4 linked regions of the Caenorhabditis elegans genome follow. The protein of the gene in region 4 interacts with the protein of the main gene of each other region in a pairwise test. Each region holds a gene or a part of one and is shown on either strand. Other genes may lie near its edges.

Region 1 (5,245 bases), on a different chromosome or scaffold from region 4:
GATCTCTACGAGGTTCTCATTGAAAACAGTATAAACTTCGGCCCATTCATGACAAAAGTCACGCGAATCTCAGACTTCCTTGTCATTCTCAACTCGGCAACCAACACATTGGCCTATTTCGGCAAAGTTCGATTCGAAAAGTGAGTGTATCATTGAGCTCCGAGATTCTAAAAAATCCTCCGATTTTGAGGTGTTTCAGATGGCTGGAACGAAGGATTCGGTGTCGAATTGTGAAGAAGGAGGCGAAGGAGATTTTGAGCACTTCACTTACTGGATAGATTATATAGTATGCCAATATCCGACATCTACGAAGTTCTAATATATTTTGTTTCGGGGTTATTTGTGATCTTGCATTTTGTCTCTATTTATTTATGTCCGCAATATGTGCTACGGTTTTTTGTTTCAATAAATTTGTTTTTATTTTTTCAGTGTTTCAAAAAACCTTGCAAGAAACCTTGAAATTCTGATATTTTTCCAGATTCTTGAATTCAGATTTAAATATCAAAAAAAAAATTATAGCCTGGCAAACTTCTAAAAATAACAGTTTATTCTTTTTGCACTTTTAAAGCATTTCAAATATACAATGGGTAAATACTTTACTTTTATTTTAAAAAAAATTACGGATTGAAAGTGAATTGATCATTATCAGACTGACTGTCACGTAATGTACCATAGATCATGTTCATATTGAATGGAGCAGCTGCCAAGTTAAAGCTTTGCGGAGTTATTATTGGAAGAAAGTCACTGCCACCATTAGTGCTGCTCGAGCTGGAAGGTGGGGAGCATTTGGCTGAATTGTTCGATTTGTCCCGTTGGCGACGGTTTTTGAACCAATTTGAAATCTGAAAAATAAAATTGAAATTTGTTCGAGATTACTTTACCATGTACTAATTTACGCTCCGGCTTTTTCAGATCCTATTTTAGTTTGTTCTACCATAGAATCCTTGTAATCACACTAATCTTCTACTCGAAATTTGACAATAAAATGAAACAGATAATTTATGATCCTTACAATTTGACCTTGCAGATCTTATAAACAAATTCTTTCGGAGAAGCCGTCTGCTCAGTTGCGACTAGTCGGCAACTGTCTTTTCACGCATTCCTTTTTACAATCATTGTTGGAAAAATATAAGCAAACTCAACTCAGACAAGGATAGCACGCAAGCGTTTACGACTTGGCAGCTGGTAATAAGTACTGTACATAGTCAGTTAAAATGTGAAAAGTTTTACCCAGGGATTCTACTAACTTCTCCTTAATTTACTGACTAAATAAGCAATTTTGAAGTTAATATTTTTCTCACAAACCTGTACAATTTTGAGTCCTGTTGCTCTTGAAATCTCTCTTTTCTGCTCCTGGGTCGGATATTCAGAGACGTTGCGGAAAAATTGTTTCAAAAATTTCCTACTCGAATCCTTGAAACTGTACACAATCTCCTCACCATCCCAAATTGTTTTCGGAGCCGGAAACTTTCGTCTCAGCCGATATTTTTCCACTGGATTCAGTTCTTTGCCACGTTTCAGCTGACTTTCCTTGTACCTTGCATGATGCCAAATATCTTGTAGATCATTGTAATGACGCTGTTGAAAATGTCGATTCGAGAGAAGGTGGAAGAGTGTCTCGAATTCATTGGAATGATATAAGGCATATGTGTAGGCTGAAATTGGAGAATAGGGTTAGATGGAATGGCGGGTACTAAAAAGAGTCAACGCAATAAATGGTTTGGAATTTGAGAAGAGCAGGATATAACGCAATCGAATGAGGTATTATTCAAAATCGAGGAAATTGCGTTATTGATATAGAAGAACTAAAATACATAGCAATAGTGAGAGTGTTGACAGCAGATATTACCGCAGTTTTTCAAGTCGGAAGGATTACGGGAGCAACTTTTTCTGCTATAGGATATTTTTTAGAAATTTCTTATAGCAAAAAATGGATCAGTTTGAAGAAATGAGTCTTTGTAAAGTTCTATATCAGATACTTGCGGAACAAAGTATTTTCAAAAATATCACTATCTAATCAAACATACCTACGATGATAGCTTCACTTCGCAAATGATCTACTGCATTTGGTCCGTACAATGACTCCAACTGCTTGAAGAATGCTACCAATCGATCACCATCTCTAGCTTGAAACAGGGATGTGGAGATTGCTTCCATCTAAAATTGTTGGGAATAAATTTGAGTTTTTAGATGAAACTCAAGAATCATAAAAACTACAGTTGATCTATGTGCATGTTGAACATGTTTTTAAAAAAAGTTACTTTGAGACAGTTATGAATATTTAAGATTTCACAAGTTTTTGAATGTATTTTTGACTTTGTGAAATTTGCGGTAAGCCTGTTAGGTATACACATCTATCACCAAAAAAATTTGTGAAACACTAAACTTTCAAATTCAACGAAAATTTTGAGAACATTAAAAGCGAACAAGTCGGCTTGTGATATGGCTGGCAACCCGGAAGTTTTGTTTTTCAAGTGGTACTTTTTCGAGAATTCATTCCACGTTCTAGACTTTTTTATTAACAAAACACAGCTTCCAGTTATTACAACAAGTCAACTATCATGGAAACTGTCAAAAAACACCTGAAAAAAACACCGTATCGTCCAGAGCCAGGTTTCCAGCACTAAACTGTGACATTTCGAAATAGTTAGACTTCGAGTAGAAACCTTTTTTTCAAGTTCTGATATTTGATTTCCCTCGCTAAAAATTTAATACCACAACCAACCTGTTCCATTGAATATTCGGACATTGTGCACCCAAAAGCTGGAATAGTCGGTGAGCTGATTGAAGCAGATGCCACCGACGGAGAAGGAGTCGGAATTACAGAAGACGGTGTCAGAATATGAGACGAAAGCTCGTAGGGCGGACCTCCAGATGATGAAAATTGATCCGAGATGTGAGAAGGCGATGTTGAAGAGTTAGAGGTGTTTGAATTTGAAGATGAAGTGAATGTATATTGAAGTGGCAGCTGATGTTGTTGATAACAATCGAAATATGAAGAAGTGTCAATTGGCGGATGGTCTGTCATGAAATAAGGTGGAATACTACTCATCTTGCAAACGTTCCTAGAAGACCAAATGGGCGGGGCTAATCGAGCAATATTGTGTTGAGGGGTACGGTACAACAGTCCAAGAGGGGGAGGCACCTGTAGAGCTCTTTTGGGATGAGGTGGTGGGAGGGAAATTTGTGTTGAGGATTAATTATAGGCGAGAATAAAAGTGTCGAATTCGAGTAGCTTCTCGTTTGAAATAGGAGCCCTCACGTTGTTAGGAGGTGAGGATGGGCCTCTGCAGATATTAATTGGATGATGATTTCCGGACTGACTCCTGACAGTATGGCTGAGACCGGAACGAAATGACGAAGAGGCTGAAGTTTGAAAAAATAAGAAGAGCTGAAAAGAAGAAGAAGAAATATGGAAACAAAGTGCAGTCTCAGATTACCTTTCCTTTCATTGAGACTTTTGAATTTTTAAGCAGCCAGTTAATAGCTAAACATTCTCGTTTTGTCGTGGAATGAGGGGATGAACATTTTGAAAGAAACATGGGCTCAGATTACTGTAGTGAATAATAAGATACACATTTTTGGGAGAATAGTTTTGAAATTTTTGTGGGCGTAAATGAACTTGAAACTTGCTCGTATAGTTAGAAGAAATAAAACAGTGTTACTTGGAGAACTGAAATGTATTTTTTTCACTACAAAACTTAAACTGATCTCATAAGACCGAATTTTTATACGAATTCTTCAAAATTTCACAAAGTTTTAATCATTTTTAAAGTTCAAGTGGACTGCAATAAAATAGGTTTTAGCTATAATTTCTAATTTTCACAGCTTGTTGACAGTGACCGGAAATTATCTTTTATACAATTAATTCTATATCTTGCTTATTTTGGTTATTTATTTTGAGTTTTTGTTGTTTTTTTATAATGGCTAAGTGTGCACAAATTTTATTACCTTTCTTGCACCCACTTAATTTAACCGCTGCGACACGGACCAACTGGGAAAATTGAAAAGTTTTGAACCGTCAAAAAAAATTGCAGGAAGGTTTCAAGAGGTCTCATTAAGAAATTAATTTTTTATAGTATTTAATTGGGTAATAATTAATTTTTCGGTAGTTTTGAAGAATTTAGAGCAAATAGAAATATTGAAACTCTATTTTTATATTTATCAACATATGAACTTCGAGAAAGCCGGCTAAAAGAAATTCCAAGTGTTTTATTTATAGTTAGTGACTTCAATTAAAAAAGTACCCACGTAATCCAATTGATAATCATGTTCTCGTTTTTCATCACATCTGTCACCAATTTCTACAGTCCTCAACAATTGAACTGACGTGCTCTTTTCTCCTAGCAAAACATTGATTGACGAGCATACGGTAGTCGGTCAATAATGCAAAGAGGCGTATTCTTTATACCATTTGCTTTCATTAGTAGTGTACATCAACTATTCCTCTTTTGTAGATTTGATATTGGCTATTTATTGTCACCATATTTTACCTAATAAAATTACATCCCCATTGTTTTATTTTGACAGTTTATATTTCGGTTTTCTTTGGTTTTAGTTAAAACAAATTTTACTGGTAAAATGTAGAAAAAATTGTGACAAGTATTTTGTCAGTTGACAAATTTTTGATAAAACCAAAGTGAACCAAGATATAAAAATACGGGATATCAGATAAACTGATAATTACATTGTTTTTTCTAAACTTTTGTAACTTTATTTTTTGTCGTAAATTCGCAGTTGACTGTGGGTGGTACTTATGCTACATTCCCATTGTAAACTCTTTTTTTACATTTCAATTCATGCAGTATTAACTTGTATAATATGTTTTCTGATGTATCTATTATCAAAAAATGTCAACTGACGAATCATTTTTGAACATTTTAATTTATTTAGCTTTTTTAAAATTTAGTTATACCATCAATCTGCCCAATGAATTTGCTTCAGAGGTGAGCAGAACTATAGCCGGCGCATCGGAATAACTACGGAGTTTGGTTTTACGGATACTTGTCGTATTCGTTGCCTGTTTTTTAGCTGATTCGATAGTTTCGGCTTGTTCCAATATCTGAACATCGTTTTTTTAAAACCAAATTAAAACTCGAGAAATTACTTTTGAAAAACAGGGCGCTCGGTTTGCCATCCCTATTCAAGGCTTTTACAAAATTTGGTACTTTCAAACAAATGCAAAATGCTGATTAATATTGTTTGATGAATTATAAGGAACAATAATATCTATTGTTGCAAACAA
Region 2 (6,008 bases), 3.4 Mb from region 4:
TTCAATAAAATAAATTGAAAACTAATTCGAAAACATTGGCGACGTCTTGCAAATAACAGAAGAATGTCGTATATTTTAGTTCAACATAGAAAAATTTCGGTAAAAACTGAAATCACTCAAAAACTAAACGGATGAACTTTTTGAAAATTTACCAAAAATAATTTCCAGTTTGTTCTAATAAATTTAAATGCATTCCGAGTTTGTCTGCAATTTAAATATTCAAACTATACTAACCATCATCGTCGCCTTCTTTCCCCTCAGCCTCTTCAGCGACCCGCTTTCTAGTCTCCATCGACTTTTCGGAGGAACCTTCTGAAAAAAAAATTATCAGGGTTTCAGATAAATTTTCCTCACCCTCACTGAATGGGCACTCGACTTCCGGAGATCTTGGCGGAGAATCTGGAACTTCGACGATCTCGGACATGGCTGGTTTGCAGTTGCTAAAAATGCTTGAAAATTTAGTTTAAAAAAAAATAAATTAAAAGTGAAAAGTAAAAAGCAGAGATTATAAACTCTTTAAATAAGTTTAATTTAGTTTCCCGGGGTTATTTCCCAGTTGTATAACTTTTTATAGCAGGACGAAAAAGCAGGAAATTCAAGTGAAACTAGGATACTATGAAAGGAAAGGTAGCTGGAAACGTACAGTAAAAATGGGGTTTCTATGTGTAATTGAGGATATGGAATCGTTTTGTCACAGATTTCCATATGAAAACCAGAAAATTGGGGATGAGAACACAGGAAGAAGATAAGAAAAAACATGCACAATTGAAATCAAAAGATATAGGAATTTCAATTTTTGAGAGTAGTTTGATTGAGTTTTGGGGTAAAAAACTATTGAACGCGGTTTTTGAGTGACTCGACAAGAACTTTCATTTCTCGATCCACGTCCTCATCATCATCATCAGCTTCTGAAAATTCGTCCACATCATTGCCGTTCTCGTCGCCTGAAACTTGAGAATTAAACTGAGATTTATCATTTCAATTCTCACTCTCTGATTCTTCGTCTGGTTCAAGGAAGTGCAGCTTTTTCGGCTTTTTGAAAGTAGTGTCTGGAAATATAGGGGCTTATACTTTTCTGGCGAGCTTATTTTCTTGGTAGCTAACGCGCTTCTAATCTTTTTTCGCCGTTATTTTTTGAGCGCTAAATGCCTTTTGATAGTTCCAAATTTGATTTCTGTCCTGTTTGAAGATCAAAAGCTTCAAGCTCAAAGCATCAAGGATCCCTTAGAGATCGTATAGTCGTCTGCACGTGATTATACTTATACAAATTTCTGCGACAGAAGGTTGAGAGTGTGCGAGAAAAAGCTTGCGGGGTGCTCTAGAAAGTTGAAAATGTCTGACAGAAACAACGTACCTTCCAAACCAGACAATTGTGTCCTTACATCGGAAACTTCTTCTCTAAGCTTATCAAACCGATCATTCGATTTTTTCAGCATTTCCTTTTTATCAGTTGAACTTGGAATTCGGGGTGAAGGTGGGATCACTCTGTTATACTTTTTAGGACCTTCTGTGAGACGTCTTTCTCTTCTTGGTGCGATTCCTCTTTGCGCGAGTATGAGCTCTGCGATGCTTTGCATTGAGTTGGCTGTCATTTGAGGAGCATTTGGAGCATGAGGTGCTTGCTGTGGAAAGGTTGAAGGCATCGGATGAATCGGGTACGGAAACATGCTTGCGGCACTGTTAGGCGGCTGTTGTAGTTGTGATGAGTGTAGACTGCAAACTGCATTTCCAATGCTTCGAATTTCATTGGCCATATGCTGCATTTGTCCATTTTGCATAGCTTGCTCATGCTGCAGACCTGATATTTGTCTAAGCAAGTCTGATATCGTGTGATTGAAATATTCCACTGGAACATAATGAGGTTGGGCAACACGGTGAGTCATTTGTGGGTGTGGTGGTGCGGTAAACTGTTCCTTTGGTTTTTCAAAATCGATTATCTGCTTGAACAAGTTGTCCTCCATATTACACAATTTTTGGAAAACTTTCAGCTCAATATCATCAAAATCCTCCTGTGCATCTTCATATTCGGAATTCTTTTTGTAAGTCGGGTGGTAATCCGGATGCATTTGATTGCGTAGAGTAGGTTTTCCTTAAAAATATTCATTGCGACTTTTGAAGCCAATTTCTTGCTCAAGATTTATCAGAAAATGTTCAGTTGGTTCAGAAATTGGCTACAAATATAAATATTTAGCAAATTAGTTGCATCGAAATAGTACTAAACGAATATGTTTGAAGCAGATGTTCAGATTTTTAGATTTGAAAATTAATTATTTTTACTCAAATTTTTAATAGTTCTACGGGGCTTCTATGGTAGACTGAAAAACAATTAGCTTAACCAAATTTTCTACTCTACTCTACATTGTGATCAGTTCAATTGATTACCTTTATCAGACTCAAGCCATGCGTCTGTAGGACGCACGTTGTTCTCACAATCCTCACATCTGTGATCGATCAAGTCTTTAGGAGTCACGTTCTCTGCAATTCTTTTCAGTTTTTTAAAAATTGAAACTCTTCGAAAACTCACCGAATAAAGTAAACTTGCTTGCAATCACTTTCCGGCTTTTAAAAACGTCCAAACTGGACAAGATGGTGAGAAATGTTCCAGTTCCAGGAATTGTTGGCGCAATTTTGAATGGATCAATTTTATAATTCTCATTCATCATCCAGTATATTGTGCCAAAAGTTGCGCCTTCCGTGGCAACAAGAGTTTGGTGATTTTCATTGGCTGGGCACATTTTTTCGAGGATATTCTCCTCGCAACTTTTTGATGTGTTGTACCAATTATTTGATTCTGAAATTATCGTATTTTAAAGTTATTTTGTACAGTTCATATATACCATACGTAAAGTATAAAAAAATAATTTGGTTTATTTGGAATCAATGTTCAATTTTATTGAAATGATTAAAAAGTACACCAAATACTGACTGGAATTTGTGATTTACTGGAAAATACTGCAGATAAATGTTCATATTTTTTATTATTTTTTCACAAGAACTTAACACATCTTCAAAAGACTGAAACTCGCTTTTTTTTTCAAAAACTACAGTAATCCTACAACAATCTTACATTACACCTCCGTGTCACGACAGTACCTTGATACTACCCTTGCCCCACCAACTTCCAACCCAATATCTATTAGGCTATAGAAAAAGAGAGTTGAAAGATAAAATTCGAAGTTATGAAAAATTCGCAATTCATCAAATAAACATGCAAGAACGTATTCAAAACACCAACCTGAATTTGTCAATTTTCTCTCTTCCATTGCAACTGGGCTTTGGAGTTTTAGGTCAAGTGTCTTCGGACAGTAAGTCGACAGAAAAATATTCTCATTTTTAGCTGATCGCACAATTGCAAACTTTTCCGTCGTCTCACATCTCACCGTTTCCGCATAAAGTTTCGTCTTCTTGTCATAATACTCCAATTCCAAGTTTTTATCATAAGTACAGACTGAACATTTGATAATTTCAAAGTGGAGGGTTAATTTGTTGAGAACGACTTGGTGTACACTTTCTGATTTTGTGGTTTTGCAGAAGTAGATTTTTTGGGATACATGAGGGCATATTTTGGTGTTGAGAAGAAGCAAATCCTTCTCCATAATTGCTTGAGTATTCTGAATCGGAAAATTTGGTAGAAGCGCAATGGCCTTGTTTTCGTCTTTCAGTATCAAGCCTTCCGGTGTTTTTCGGTACTTTCCAATTATTCCATGTATATTCACAAATGTGTCCATAACTCCTGACTGCTTACATCCAATCCATGATATTCCAATACACATCAACCGTTGTCCATCAATGCCTCTGTGTAATTTGTCAGTTGCTCTCAATCCCTGAACTTCCACCGAATCAGTAAAGAGGTTGATGTCATCAGCCCGCAAACAAGATTGGCAAACGCAATCTGGAGCTTTTAGAAACTCATTATTCTTGAAGATGTACTTTCCAAAGACTCCATTATCTGTTCCAAAGAGAACAACTTCAAGTGAATTCTCGCAAACGACTGAATATTTTGGTACGATGCGGGCTACTTTTGGTAGCTGGGGTGTTTGGGTTGATGTTGAGTATTTTGAAGGAGGATTTTGGTATTCACTGGTGTTCATTTTTTACCTGAAAATTTCAGGCTTTAAATTAATATATTGAGAATTTAATGCTGAGAAACAAGACAGCAAATCAAGATTAACTGGAAATTCCAAAAAGGCTGTCATGAAAAAAATTGATAAGTATCTAGGCAAGTTATGAAAGTAGAAAGTTAATACCCTTTAATAGTGTGAGAAACGCAGACAGCAAGAGTGCCTCGTTGTCTGCGTCTTCAATGGGATTATATATAGTTTGAACTGTTCGTTGAGTTGATCCTTGGACTCTCTAGGCTACTATTAGATGAAAATAGTGCAGTTCCAATTGATGTTTTGAACTTTTCAGATTTAATTAGGTGTTCCCCAACTATATTATCTCAAGGGGATTATAATGAGATAGTTGGAAATTTGGCGTTGCTCATATAGATGTAGATTGTAGAGAAATGTTCTATTAGTAGTTTTCCCCGTGAAATATTGTTTTTTAAATGCTTTTCCCGTTTTGTAGAAATTTGAAATTGTTTCAGACAATTTTTCATCAATATAATTTATTGGGAAAAGTGGTAAAGTGAAGAAAAGTAATTCATTACTTTAAAATATGTTCTGTTTCAGATTGTGAGTTATAGAAAGAATGTACTAAGAAAATTGACAAGTTAAATCTAGAAATAAAAGTATGAGAAATACATAGGAAAATTAAATAGGAAAATTAAATTATTTAGAAACCAATTTAAAACATTTGAAATTAATGAACGATATAAAATGACAGGAGAAACATTTCAGATAAATTTTCAGATAAATGCTAAATTTAATTAATGTCAGATTAAATCAAATATCACATTTTTCAGTTTTCTGGAAGCATGCATGGGTGGCTCAAAAGAATATTAAAAGTTTAAGCCTAACTAAGATGGATAAAGGAATGAAAAGCTTAATGAAAAGTCGAAAATAGAAACGAAGGAAATCAATGAGAGCTCGCGGAGCACAGAAGAGACAAAGAAACCATAGCAACATGAGAGCAGGGAGAAATATTATCAAAGTAGAAGAAGAAGGAATGAAGAAGTACGTGATGGATGGAAGGGCGGTGCGCATTAAAGGGGCGGAGCTTGCTTTTGGAAAGGGCGGAGAGGTGGAGATATAGAGAAACATAGAAAGGTGGTAAGAGAGCGTGGAGTAGAATTTCAGGAAATCTGCGGATTTATATAGAATGAAAAAGATAATTGTAAAAAAATTGTTTCAAATTTTTGAAGTTATACATGTGTAATTTGACAGTAGTTAGGCGTAGGTAGGCATAGGTTTTTGAGCCTGCACGATGTGAACTCACATAAAATTGCTCAAATAGTAGATTTACATAGCATTGCAGATTTTTAAAGGTTTTGAGAATGTTTAGGGAAAGGCATACGTTCTAGAATTGTTTAACCCAACGCTATCAATTAAAATTTTGATTTTTTCGAATTTTTTAGATCTAATTTTAACTAGTTCAAAGTGCTCCTTTGTAGCTAAACTTTTTGTAAAATGGCACCTGTTTCAAAGTTAAAAAGGAAAGTTTAAAAGTGAGCCTCGAAGCAACCTTCTACATGACTACTATCAAATTAGAATTGCTAAAATTTACACAAATTGAAATGCGTAAGCCTACACTGTATAAACGGGAAACACCAGAGCTCGCGCCTAAATGCAAAAAAATAATCAGCAGGCAGGGGTGCCTACGTACCTACCAGGCCTATCTGGAGCCTACCAGGAACTTGAATTCCAGCTAGCAAGGGTTCTTGGCGTCAAAAAATGTTTGTTGGGGTTCTCGAAAAGAATGCGCGAAACAAGAATCCGTTTTCTTCTCTCTCAGCTCCAGCTTTCACGCAAAAAATAAATAAAAGAGATGTTAGACAACACGAGAGAAAACATCTCTGCTGTCGCTTTAATCAGAAGGCGTATATGTAGATTTGTGAGTTTCTGTGA
Region 3 (5,310 bases), on a different chromosome or scaffold from region 4:
CAGCAGTGCACATAGGATACGTTGACAAGACCCGATGAATGTGATGACGGTGAGCATAACGCTGCCGAAATGTGTACGGATTGATTGAAAAATAGATTAAGGGGGCTATCAATTTAGATTTATTGCTTTAATTTTTCAATTTGTTGTAAGCCATAAGGAAAAAATGAGCAAAAGTTGTATCCTCTTCGATAGCGTTTTTTTTTTTCAAAAGATTTCGTCAGCCTAATTTCAAAACATACAGATTGGATAAAATGTTTCAATTTCAAAAATATTTCGTAGACAAAAATAGCTATATTTAACTTCTTCATCTAGTTTCACTTAAGCACGATCTCTTTTGATTTTTTGATTTTGATTTTGATTTTGGGAATTAAATGTTTGAGGTAATAATAAATAATCAACAAAATAATAATGTCCGTCTGTCCAGTTTGCCTAATTTGTTTGTGAAGTCAAAAACGCGTCTCTTGAGTTATTCAACCCTTTCTAAACTTGAATTTAAAATTGGTAGAAGTTTGAAACTGGTTAGAGCCTCTGAAAAGATGAAGAAATACAAGACTAGACATTTTTATTCTAAAAATCTCAATACATAAATTGATTTACCCATAAAGTCAATAAATTAAAATTGAAGACAATGACACGTAATTAAATGGACTGAAAAATACAACTGAATGGTCATGGTTAATCACAGTTAAAACATCTGATCACTGGGTACAATGTGTACAAACAATAACGGAATCTAGAAAAGGTTGAAGAAAATTTCTTCGTAATACTCTAATTTGTCAGTAGAATCGCTGGTGAGACCGGCCAAAAAGCATAGTTCCGGAAGAATAGCTGGCGGCAAGTTCAGCTGAAGTTGCTCGTAGATTGTAATACGCGAGAGACTTTGCGGACGTTGAACCTGTAAATAGTCAGTTTGAGACACTTAAAAGTACCAAAATTCATTAAAACTCACCATTTTGAATGCCAAAATGCGTTTTTCAATAAACTGTAACACTTTGTTCATTTCATTCGAATTTTCTTCCCAAGTTTTCACAAAAGTATCCACCGTTTCATAGAATTTTTGATATGAGAAATTTTCGTGAAAAATTGGACGACCCGATTCTGAAATCTTCTTTGCTCTGTTAGCAATTGCCATTTGAACTGCATGCAGGATTTGGGGACTGATCAACGATGGCGGTGGATTCGAGACGGGTCTTTTTCCTCGCTTCTTTTCTGAAATTGAAAATATTAGTACCAAATGGCGATGATGAATCTCACTTTGGTCTTTCTGTCCTGAGCTTGAGTAGTCACCACCAGCTTGCTCCACATGCTTCTGTCTTTCTCGATATGCTGCTTCCAGTACATCGTCATCAGTTTCCAATTGATTTGCCTTCTGTGCAGCCATAAGGCGCTTTTCTTTTTTTGTCAACTTTTTCCTGGCGTCGGGTAGAGCAATAGTTGATGCTTCTTTGCTATCCTCGTCAATGGTGGAAGCGGCCAAAGTCTGCTGACATTTTTGCAATGGTTTTTCGACTTTTGACAATGGCAGCGGGTAGACGAGTTTTTGTGTTTTCTGTGGTACAAAACTGAAAATTACAGAATTTATCATTTTAGCAGTAATATCAAAAAATCACCATTTCTTCCTGCCCGTCGCCTCCTGCCATGATTCCAAAACGTCATCCGACGTATCCAGATACTTAATGATTTCAGATATTGACGTATCCCTGTCATCATCAACAATCAACGAGTCAGTCGTCATTTCAGATACAGGTTCAGATTTGATTTCAACTACGCTCATGTTATCCGAGTGTTCCAAAGTTTCCGGCTCAATCAGTGTTTTCGAAAGATCAAGGTTCTCCATTATATCATCAACATCATCTAATGGTGGCATTTCAGACATTGTACTGCTATAAGGTTCTGGCTCATTTGCAACACTTTCCGTGTCTACTGAATCCAAGTCGCAATCTTGCTGACCAACAGGCGTCAACGTTCCATAATCTTCGTCTTCCGATTCTTCCCTGACACTATCAGTCATGGGTGATAACGAACCATTTCCAACACTAGATCCATTGATGGGCGGTCTGCTGGACATAGATATGTCGCTCTGAAAAAACCATTTTGTAATATAGCATTATAAATTAGTCAAGTGCTGCGTGAGTGTGTTCAAGTTTAAACATTTGATCATTATCACTTTCAGGAACATTTAATGATAGTTGTCATAAATTTAGGAGTGTGTCTGATATTCATGGTCAGACAAGAAGCGGGTTACTAAAATGGTTTTAGATGCAAACCAGTTAATCTCCCAACTTTTAAATTTTTCATATAACTTCCCTAAAAGCGGTCATGTTCAAATTTTCAAATTCTGGCATACCCAAGCAGCAGTTAAGTTGTTTTTGTTGTAGTCGATAATATTGTTTATTACCTGTCCGGAAGAAAACGATTGTGATGAGCATACTGATGATCCCGATTGTGACATGGAAACGACGCATACAGGTGCGCTGACAACTCGACAATATGCAACTCCATTGTTATCATAAATAATGTCTGGGAATCCTTCGTTGGCAGGTGGACCAGAATATTGACTGTAAGACGGTGATGGAAAGATGGGAGACGAGAATCCATATCCAGAAGGTGGCTTTGAAGTATCAATTTGAGGTGGTGACATTGAATACGATCCTTGCGAAACCATTACAGCTCCGACTGGCATCATGGTTGGTGGAGCTGGCACAAATTGGGGAGGATTGTAATTCTGGGAACCAACAGGCACGTGTGGATGCATAGGCTGGTTTACAATCTGTGGGTGTGCAAATCCTGAATTCGACGCTGCCAAATCCATAGTGTATGGAGGAACAGGTTGCGGAAAGACGTTTGGATTTGATGCAAACTGTGCCGGAGGTGGCATGTAATTACCATGTTGAGCAAATGGGTGTACCTGAAAATTGCAATTGTTTCAAAGTTTTAAAGAAATTCTTATGGCCTTGGGGTTTTTAAACAGTGAAAAACTACATTTCTAAAAATTAAAACTTGTTTACTCCTCTCGATTGAAAAAAAAACCGATTTTTTCCATTAAATCAACGAGTTTCTAAAATCATTAAAAGTTTAATTGTCAGCTTTTAGTTTCGCCGTTCGCTTAATTTTTATTGCAATCTAGTATTCCCATTTCAAAAAATTATCAACGAAATAAGCTTTCAAATTGCCTGAGATTGGAAATTCTCAATATCTCATGAACAAACTTTTCAAATTGAAAAACAAACCTTAAATGAAGCATCCAACGTGCTCACCAAATTGTTCTGATATCCGCAATTTTGATAAGGATTTGGGCACTGATTATTTTGGACGGGAGCGGCGAACTGTTGCTGCATGAGATCATCAACGTCTTTTGAGTTCAACAGAACCTCATTCTCAAAATTCCACAGCGCAATAGGATCATTTGATTCAAAAGCTCTTTGAACGATTTCCCCGTAACTTGGATCCAGACGATGAAGATTATTGTAGGAAAAGAGAATCTGTAAAAAATTATTATATATAAGAATATACAAACGCTCTAAACATTATGTACCTTCTCCAATTGATTTCTTCTTTGAACACTATTCCTGAGAAAGTCCTCATGTACTTCACTCGAGTGTCCTTCGGTTTTCCAGCGAGATCTATCGTTTTGCATAGCTTCTGAACAAAGTTAACATGAAAATTTGTCAGAGTTTAAAACAACTGATAGGTGCAATATTGAGAGCCTGTTAATAATTGAAAATTTAAATTGTAGGAAAAACCGAATAAAAAAAACATATAATTTAGTGCTTACAACATTCAGTTTTACTATTTATTTTATGAGTAAAATTATAACGAATAGAAGCTGGCGGTGTCACATTTCAAAACTAGATCAAAAGATTTGCTGAATTAAAATAAAAAAGAGAAATGTTATAGCTATTTGTTTGTTTTTAACCTACTCTTGTTACCGCAAAAAAACATTGTGAGCATTTTACACAAAATTATATAATTTTTGAATTTCCTTTGCTAGTAATTGTTGGGAAAAATCAAAACAAATTCTTGAAGCTAGATTGCATTCCAAGTAACATGGTTAGTTCAAAACATAGAATTTTATGAGAAATTCAAACTTTGAAAGAATCATGCATCGCGTTGGGGCTCTCGAAAAATAATGTCTAGGTATCTAGATAGCTAGATTCATATCATAGCTATAGATTTAATTTTTGCTTGTAACTACAATTGTGGAAAAATGGGAATATAAGAGTACCATTGAAAAAAATAGCACAATGTATAAATTGCACGGTTGGCATGCAAAATTTTGGTTGGAAATTCAATGAGTAGAGCTAAAAAAGTTTTAGTTTTGCCCAAGGATAAAAAAAAGGAAACCTGACTCAATTTCTGTCAGTGGAATTTCTAATTTGGTTAGTGCATTCTGATTTGGTCAGTGCAATTACTAATTTGGTCAGTGCTTTTCGACTTTGGTCAGTGCTTTTCTATTTTGGTCAGTGCTTTTCTATTTTGGTCAGTGCTTTTCTATTTTGGTCAGTGCATAATTTTAATTTCTAACCTATTATCTGATTGAAAAAAAATTAGGAGGAACGAAGTTGAAAACTGAGGTGAACAAATGAAAGTGAAAAGACGCGCACGCAGGTGGTGGTGCTTAGTGTTTATCGTCACCCACAACAATAACTGGGTGGGTAATATGGTGAGGAAGAGGACTCGTTGGACAGGGCAAAGGGCCCCTCGGCGGATGCCACGCACGCAGCACACAAAACCCCCCTACATTCGTTCGCGCGCACACTCATAGAACACTCACACACACGCACACACACGCTCACATATAGCCAACTGCACCCCCACGTCAACAAAACACAAACACACAAACACGCACACACATGCGCTCACACGACGACACGGCATCCAGAGGCACTAGCGCAGTTAATTTTTGACGCTCTAGACTAACAATGGGACTCTTTTAACTCAATGAACATATGACAAATGTTCACGGATTCTCGTGTGATTGCGCACGAAACAGAGCGTTACGGTGGGCGCAAGGCCGTTACGGAAAATGGTAATGACGGTCATAGGTCCAATTATTATACATATGTGATAGTAAAATGTAAACAAAAACTAGCATGTTCGCAGTAAGTTTCAGAATGTAGAGAAGAAAACAGAAATCTATGTGGAAATATAATCTAGCAATCATCCTGGAACTTATCAAATGCTTTCAATGTACGACAGGTGCTAAAAAATGTAAAAATGTAGCAGAAATTTCACAGAAAAGGTAAACTAAAATCATAAAAGAACTCGCACCCCCAATTTCGCAAGAATAATTGTAAAAAAAAACAGAAG
Region 4 (4,646 bases):
ACATATATTTTTCTTGTAATTTGGATCAAGGGTGTCGGTTTTTCGATTTTTCCAGAAAATCGAAAAATTAAAAATTTTCGATTTTTCGTTTTTTCAAATTCGAAAAATCGAAAATTTTTCGTTTTTCGATTTTCCGAAAAAAACGAAAAATCGAAAATCGAAAAATTTTTCGATTTTTGAAATAAACTTACAAAACAGCTGATAATGTTTTATTTTTGAACCTTTTCGTTGTAGGAGGTTGTAAATATCTATTCAAAAAGGGTTCCCCCACAGGGAAGGATAATCAAAACAGTAAATTTTCACTGAAAAACATCGAAAAATCGAAAAATCGAAAAAATCAAAAAAATCGAAAAATCGAAAAATGACACCCTTGATTCGGATGTACATTAAGCCTAGAATACCCTAAAAATGAGGCTAATATACTGAAAAAAAAAACTTAACAAAATAATTGAAAATCAGCAAAAATCCCTCATTTTTAAAAATTTTCAGAAAAGTTGTCCAAATGGCTCTGTGCGATTTTCAGCGGCTACCAAAGTTACAACCAGGGCTCGAACCCCCGCTGTGGCATATATTTTTATTTAGGTGTTTTTATACTAAACCGGGGAATTTTTTATCAAATCTTGAAATGCTCACTGAGCCCAGGATATTTTAAAAACCAGCTCAAAATTTGGAGAAATTGCCTACAAACCAACAAAAACCCTCGATTTTCAAAATTTTCAAAAAAATTGACCGTATGGCTCAGTGGGATTCTCGGCGTCTACCAATCTCACGGCCCGGGTTCGAACCCCCGCTGTGGCATATATTTTTTCTTTTTCTTTTTCAATGCTTTTACAGACTTCTGAACCCCATCAGGACCCCTCCAAAGCTTGCGAATTTCCGTTCTCAGGAATAATGACGAAACCCGAGCCACCACTCCATTTACATACAGCTCTCAGCTTCTTCTTCCCTCACTACTTTCAAGGCGTCGGACGGGGTGCTTCACAAACAATGCCATCTGTATTTGTTTGCTCGGCGAGCAGTAGCACAGGAGCTTTACATATGTCGCTGTTGTTCAAATACACGGTAGTGGAGGTGATAACTAGGCCGGGGGGCAGTGAAGTAATGAGTGAAAAAATTAAAATTTTGATAAAAACCGGCCAAAAAAATTTGACTTGAATCAATCCCGGAGGGTTCCCCAAAAGCCCTAAAACTTAGTAAGAGCCCGGTGCGGAAAAAAGGTATAAGGGTATCTAGTTTCAAGTGACCGCCGGCGAACAGGTAAGAAAAGAGCCGCGGGAGTTTTCTCAGAGCTCCCCGCCACCAAACAGGTGTTGCGATTTCTACCATAACTCGGTGGAGAGCATAGTTCGAGGAAAGTTGTCAACTAGCAAAATATTACTTGGAAAATTTCCTACAATTTTGTGGTTGGAAACTTTTTTCTTGCTATTCTAGTTTTAAAGTTACGAGGGTTTTAAAAATTTAAAAATAAGCGCCAGGAAATTTTCAAACTCATCTCTTATGCTCATTGAGCCATTTTCTGACTCGTGACTAAAATTTTCGACATGCCTATACCCAAATTAGTCTAAAACACCAAAAAAAAAAAATTAAGCCACAGCGCGGACTCGAACCCGGTCTTCTGCTTGGAAGCCCACCAAAATCCCACTGAGCCACTTGCACCAAATTTTCGAAATTTTATTTTTGGATTTTTTACTGCTTTGCCACAGAAATTGTGCATCGAAGAGCCCCAAGACCTCTGAATTCGATCCCGTCACCACAGGGGGTCCCCCCAACTGTTGCAAGTTGGCTAATGATGGCTATATAATGATGTAATATGGTTGCGTGAGGGGGTATCTAGACTCAACTGGGTATTGGAAAAAGACTAAGGGGTGCCTAAAATCAACTAGTCGCATAAATTGACCAAAAAAAAAATCCAAAATTTACAATAGGGATGTACATCATAATTTTTGATAATTTTTCTGATTAATGTCAGTTTAAAAGGCGATTCGGAGCAAGTTCCTAGTTAAAAATGTATCTTTTTGGAAAAATAGTGAAAATCAAAAATAAGTGTGCTCATTGAGCACCAGGTGACCCAGACATTTGTTTACGTGGATTATAAACTTCGCTAATTATTGATTTGTTTATTTTTCCGAGTTGCAACAAAGTTCGGAATTTTCTACTAAAAAACTTCAACCTAGAAGTTTAAAAGATAGAAATTTGAACTCAGCGCACTCAAATTAATCTAGAAACAGTAAAATGAAAAAATTGTGCCACAGTGCGGACTCGAACCCCGGTCGTCAGATTGGAAGTCATCCGAAATCCCACTGCGCCACTTGGACCAAATTTTCGAAATTGCGAAAAATGAAGAGTAAAAGCTCTGAAAAAAGTTTATTTCAGCTTAAAAATCTACATTTTTATCTGAAACCCCAACCCCGTACCATTAAAATTCGCAGTTCTACTCGTTTTGAGCTCCGAGAGCTTTTTTTCTGGGTTACAAGGAAATTAAAGCCAAGAATCATTTATATAGCTCATCCACACAAAAACAAAAATAAATGCTACAGCGGGGACTCGAACCCCGGGCTTCTGCTCGGAAGCTGTCCAAAAACCCACTGCGCCATTCAGGAACATTTTTAAGATTAGAAATATCGATTTTTCGAGTTTTTTAAATTAAAGTTCACGGTTTAGAAAACTCACAAAATACAGAGAACATTGTAGGAGAGGTTAGCTAGAACTGTCTAGGTACTGAATGGGGAAAGGAGGTACATGGAGGGGGGGGGGGGGGGGGGGGGGGGGGTGTCTTGGAAGAGCTCATCTTACAGACAGACCCTTCTCGCAGAACTTTCTCCAGTTTCATCACCATGCCGATATTTGATACTTTTGGGATGGGGTACCGGGCGCCCGGGGGCGCCCTGAAGCGACATATAACTCACCTCAGAATCTGGAAGCATTTTTTTTTTGATTCAGGAATTGCGAACAATTTCAGATATATAGATTTGGAAATTGTTGAGCAAAAATTTGAGCAACTGGCACGCAGAAGCAGGGAGAGACTGACTCTGATGTATTTGTGTGTGTGTGTGTGCTCTCGTTTTCTCTGCCGGCTCTCTGAGCTCTCGGAGCTCTCACCCCTGAGCTACCGTATGTCTGAGCCAGTCGGCTGTCTGCTCGGAGCTCCGCCTTTTGGTGGAAAATCGCATTATTTTCGGATTCTGAAAAATTAATTTTGAAAAAAAAGTTTTGTACGAGTGACTCAGTGGGATTTTGGAGGGCTACCAATCTGACGACCGGGGTTCGACTCCGCACTGTGGCATAATTTTTTTTCTTTGTTGGTTCGACTATATAAGCCCTGCTGAACACGAATTTTTAACATACAAATTTTTAACTTTTTATTGAAAATAAACTATCAAGCTTAAATTTTAATAGCTCATTGCACCTAGCACACATGAGACATATGCTGAACAGTCCCAAAAAATGCTCAAAATTTTTAAAAATCAGCTCAAACCTCGATTTTCTGAAAATTTGCTCGAATGGCTCAGTGGGATTTTGGAGGGCTTCCAATCTGACAACCGGGGTTCGAGTCCGCACTGTGTCATAAATTTTTTTATTTATTGGTTTGACTATACAAGCCCTGCTGAACACGGATTTCTGACTTATATACTATTTGTAATAACATTTTCAACATTTTGGGGATATATATATATCCCTTCGAAGCTTGGTCTCCAATAGCTTGAACAACTTTAAAACAAGTTCAAAATTGGAAAAAAAAAATATATCGAAATTGCTGAAAAATCAGCTCAAACCGTAATTTTCAAGTTTTTCTGAAAATTTGGCCGAATGGCTCAGTGGGATTTTGGCCGGCTACCAATCTTACGACCGGGGTTCGAGTCCGCACTGTGGCATGAATTTTTGTTTTGCTGTTCTCAGAATAATACAAATCTCCTGAATTCGAATTTTCAACTCTCAAAACCAGAAAGACTTGCTAGGTCGGCTCAAACTTAATTTCTTTTTGTGTACGAGTGGCTCAGTGGGATTCTAGCCAGCTACCAATCTGAGGTCCGGGGTTCGAGTCCGCGATGTGGCATAATTTTTTTTTTGGTGTTATTCTACTAAATTTCGACTTTCCGAGTTCGAATTCGGTCAAAAATTAGACATTTCCACACTGCTTTGTGATTTTTTCGAACTTTTATACCTTCTCAAAAAATCGATATTATTTGTTGATTTTACCCCCTTCCCTTATTTTCCTCTCATTTCTGAGAGTATAGGGAGATGGGGAGCGTGCGAAAGCGGCGAAGCGATCATATTTCAGTTTTCGGGAGCACAGAGTCGAGACGCTGACTTCAATTTTAGTAGTATATGGGACGAGGGACGATTTTGCAATGGAATATTGATTTTGGAGGAAACCCATTGAGTTTTAAGGCATGGGACCTTGAAATTCGGATTCAGAATGTCGATATTAGCCAAATAACACTAAAACAAAAAAATATGCCAAGGCGCGGACTCGAACCCAGGTGGTGAAATTGGTAGTCACCCAAAATCCCACTGAGCCAGTCGGACAAAAAGTTGAAAAGTTCTAGAAAATATGAAATTTGAATAGCAAAATAAAATTAGAAGTCTTAATAAGAAGTTTTCAATAATTCAGGTACTGCTTTCAAAAATTAGCAGGTCGAATTCGG

The links.
Region 1: the proteins of eya-1 (region 4) and unc-39 interact in binary tests that used the Caenorhabditis elegans proteins (3 or more experiments, as listed by UniProt).
Region 2: the proteins of eya-1 (region 4) and C35E7.2 interact in a two-hybrid assay, tested with the Caenorhabditis elegans proteins (2 studies listed by BioGRID).
Region 3: the proteins of eya-1 (region 4) and C02F12.8 interact in binary tests that used the Caenorhabditis elegans proteins (3 or more experiments, as listed by UniProt).

Annotation. Positions count from the first base shown.
Region 1 is NC_003283.11:14,371,172-14,376,416, reverse strand, and holds unc-39 (Homeobox protein unc-39), read right to left. Parts: upstream 3,344-5,245; 5' UTR 3,029-3,343; coding exon 2,726-3,028; intron 2,158-2,725; coding exon 2,028-2,157; intron 1,656-2,027; coding exon 1,306-1,655; intron 950-1,305; exon of another isoform or gene 929-949; intron 843-928; coding exon 618-842; 3' UTR 536-617; downstream 1-535. Other genes in the region: npr-43 (G-protein coupled receptors family 1 profile domain-containing protein), read left to right, coding at 1-140, 191-278. UniProt on the Caenorhabditis elegans protein: Probable transcription factor required for differentiation and migration of neuronal cells, such as RID and CAN neurons. Specifically, plays a role in the terminal differentiation of RID peptidergic neurons. Also required for CAN neuron axon guidance.
Region 2 is NC_003279.8:10,839,204-10,845,211, reverse strand, and holds C35E7.2 (Reverse transcriptase domain-containing protein), read right to left. Parts: upstream 4,115-6,008; 5' UTR 4,092-4,114; coding exon 3,236-4,091; intron 3,035-3,235; exon of another isoform or gene 2,792-3,034; coding exon 2,525-2,791; intron 2,476-2,524; coding exon 2,383-2,475; intron 2,090-2,382; coding exon 1,355-2,089; intron 1,050-1,354; coding exon 990-1,049; intron 945-989; coding exon 832-944; 3' UTR 546-831; downstream 1-545. Other genes in the region: C35E7.11 (Glutamic acid-rich protein-like), read right to left, coding at 235-312, 355-424.
Region 3 is NC_003284.9:3,689,597-3,694,906, forward strand, and holds C02F12.8 (uncharacterized protein), read right to left. Parts: upstream 3,643-5,310; 5' UTR 3,638-3,642; coding exon 3,536-3,637; intron 3,483-3,535; coding exon 3,231-3,482; intron 2,909-3,230; coding exon 2,399-2,908; intron 2,081-2,398; coding exon 1,611-2,080; intron 1,563-1,610; coding exon 1,255-1,562; intron 1,210-1,254; coding exon 950-1,209; intron 896-949; coding exon 734-895; 3' UTR 547-733; downstream 1-546.
Region 4 is NC_003279.8:14,228,319-14,232,964, forward strand, and holds the start of eya-1 (Protein phosphatase eya-1), read right to left. Parts: upstream 3,043-4,646; 5' UTR 2,925-3,042; coding exon 2,907-2,924; intron 2,713-2,906; exon of another isoform or gene 2,671-2,712; intron 784-2,670; exon of another isoform or gene 714-783; intron 1-713. UniProt on the Caenorhabditis elegans protein: Tyrosine protein phosphatase. Acts probably as a transcription regulator in the embryonic and postembryonic development of several tissues including pharynx, vulva and gonads. Required for the development of anterior tissues during late embryogenesis.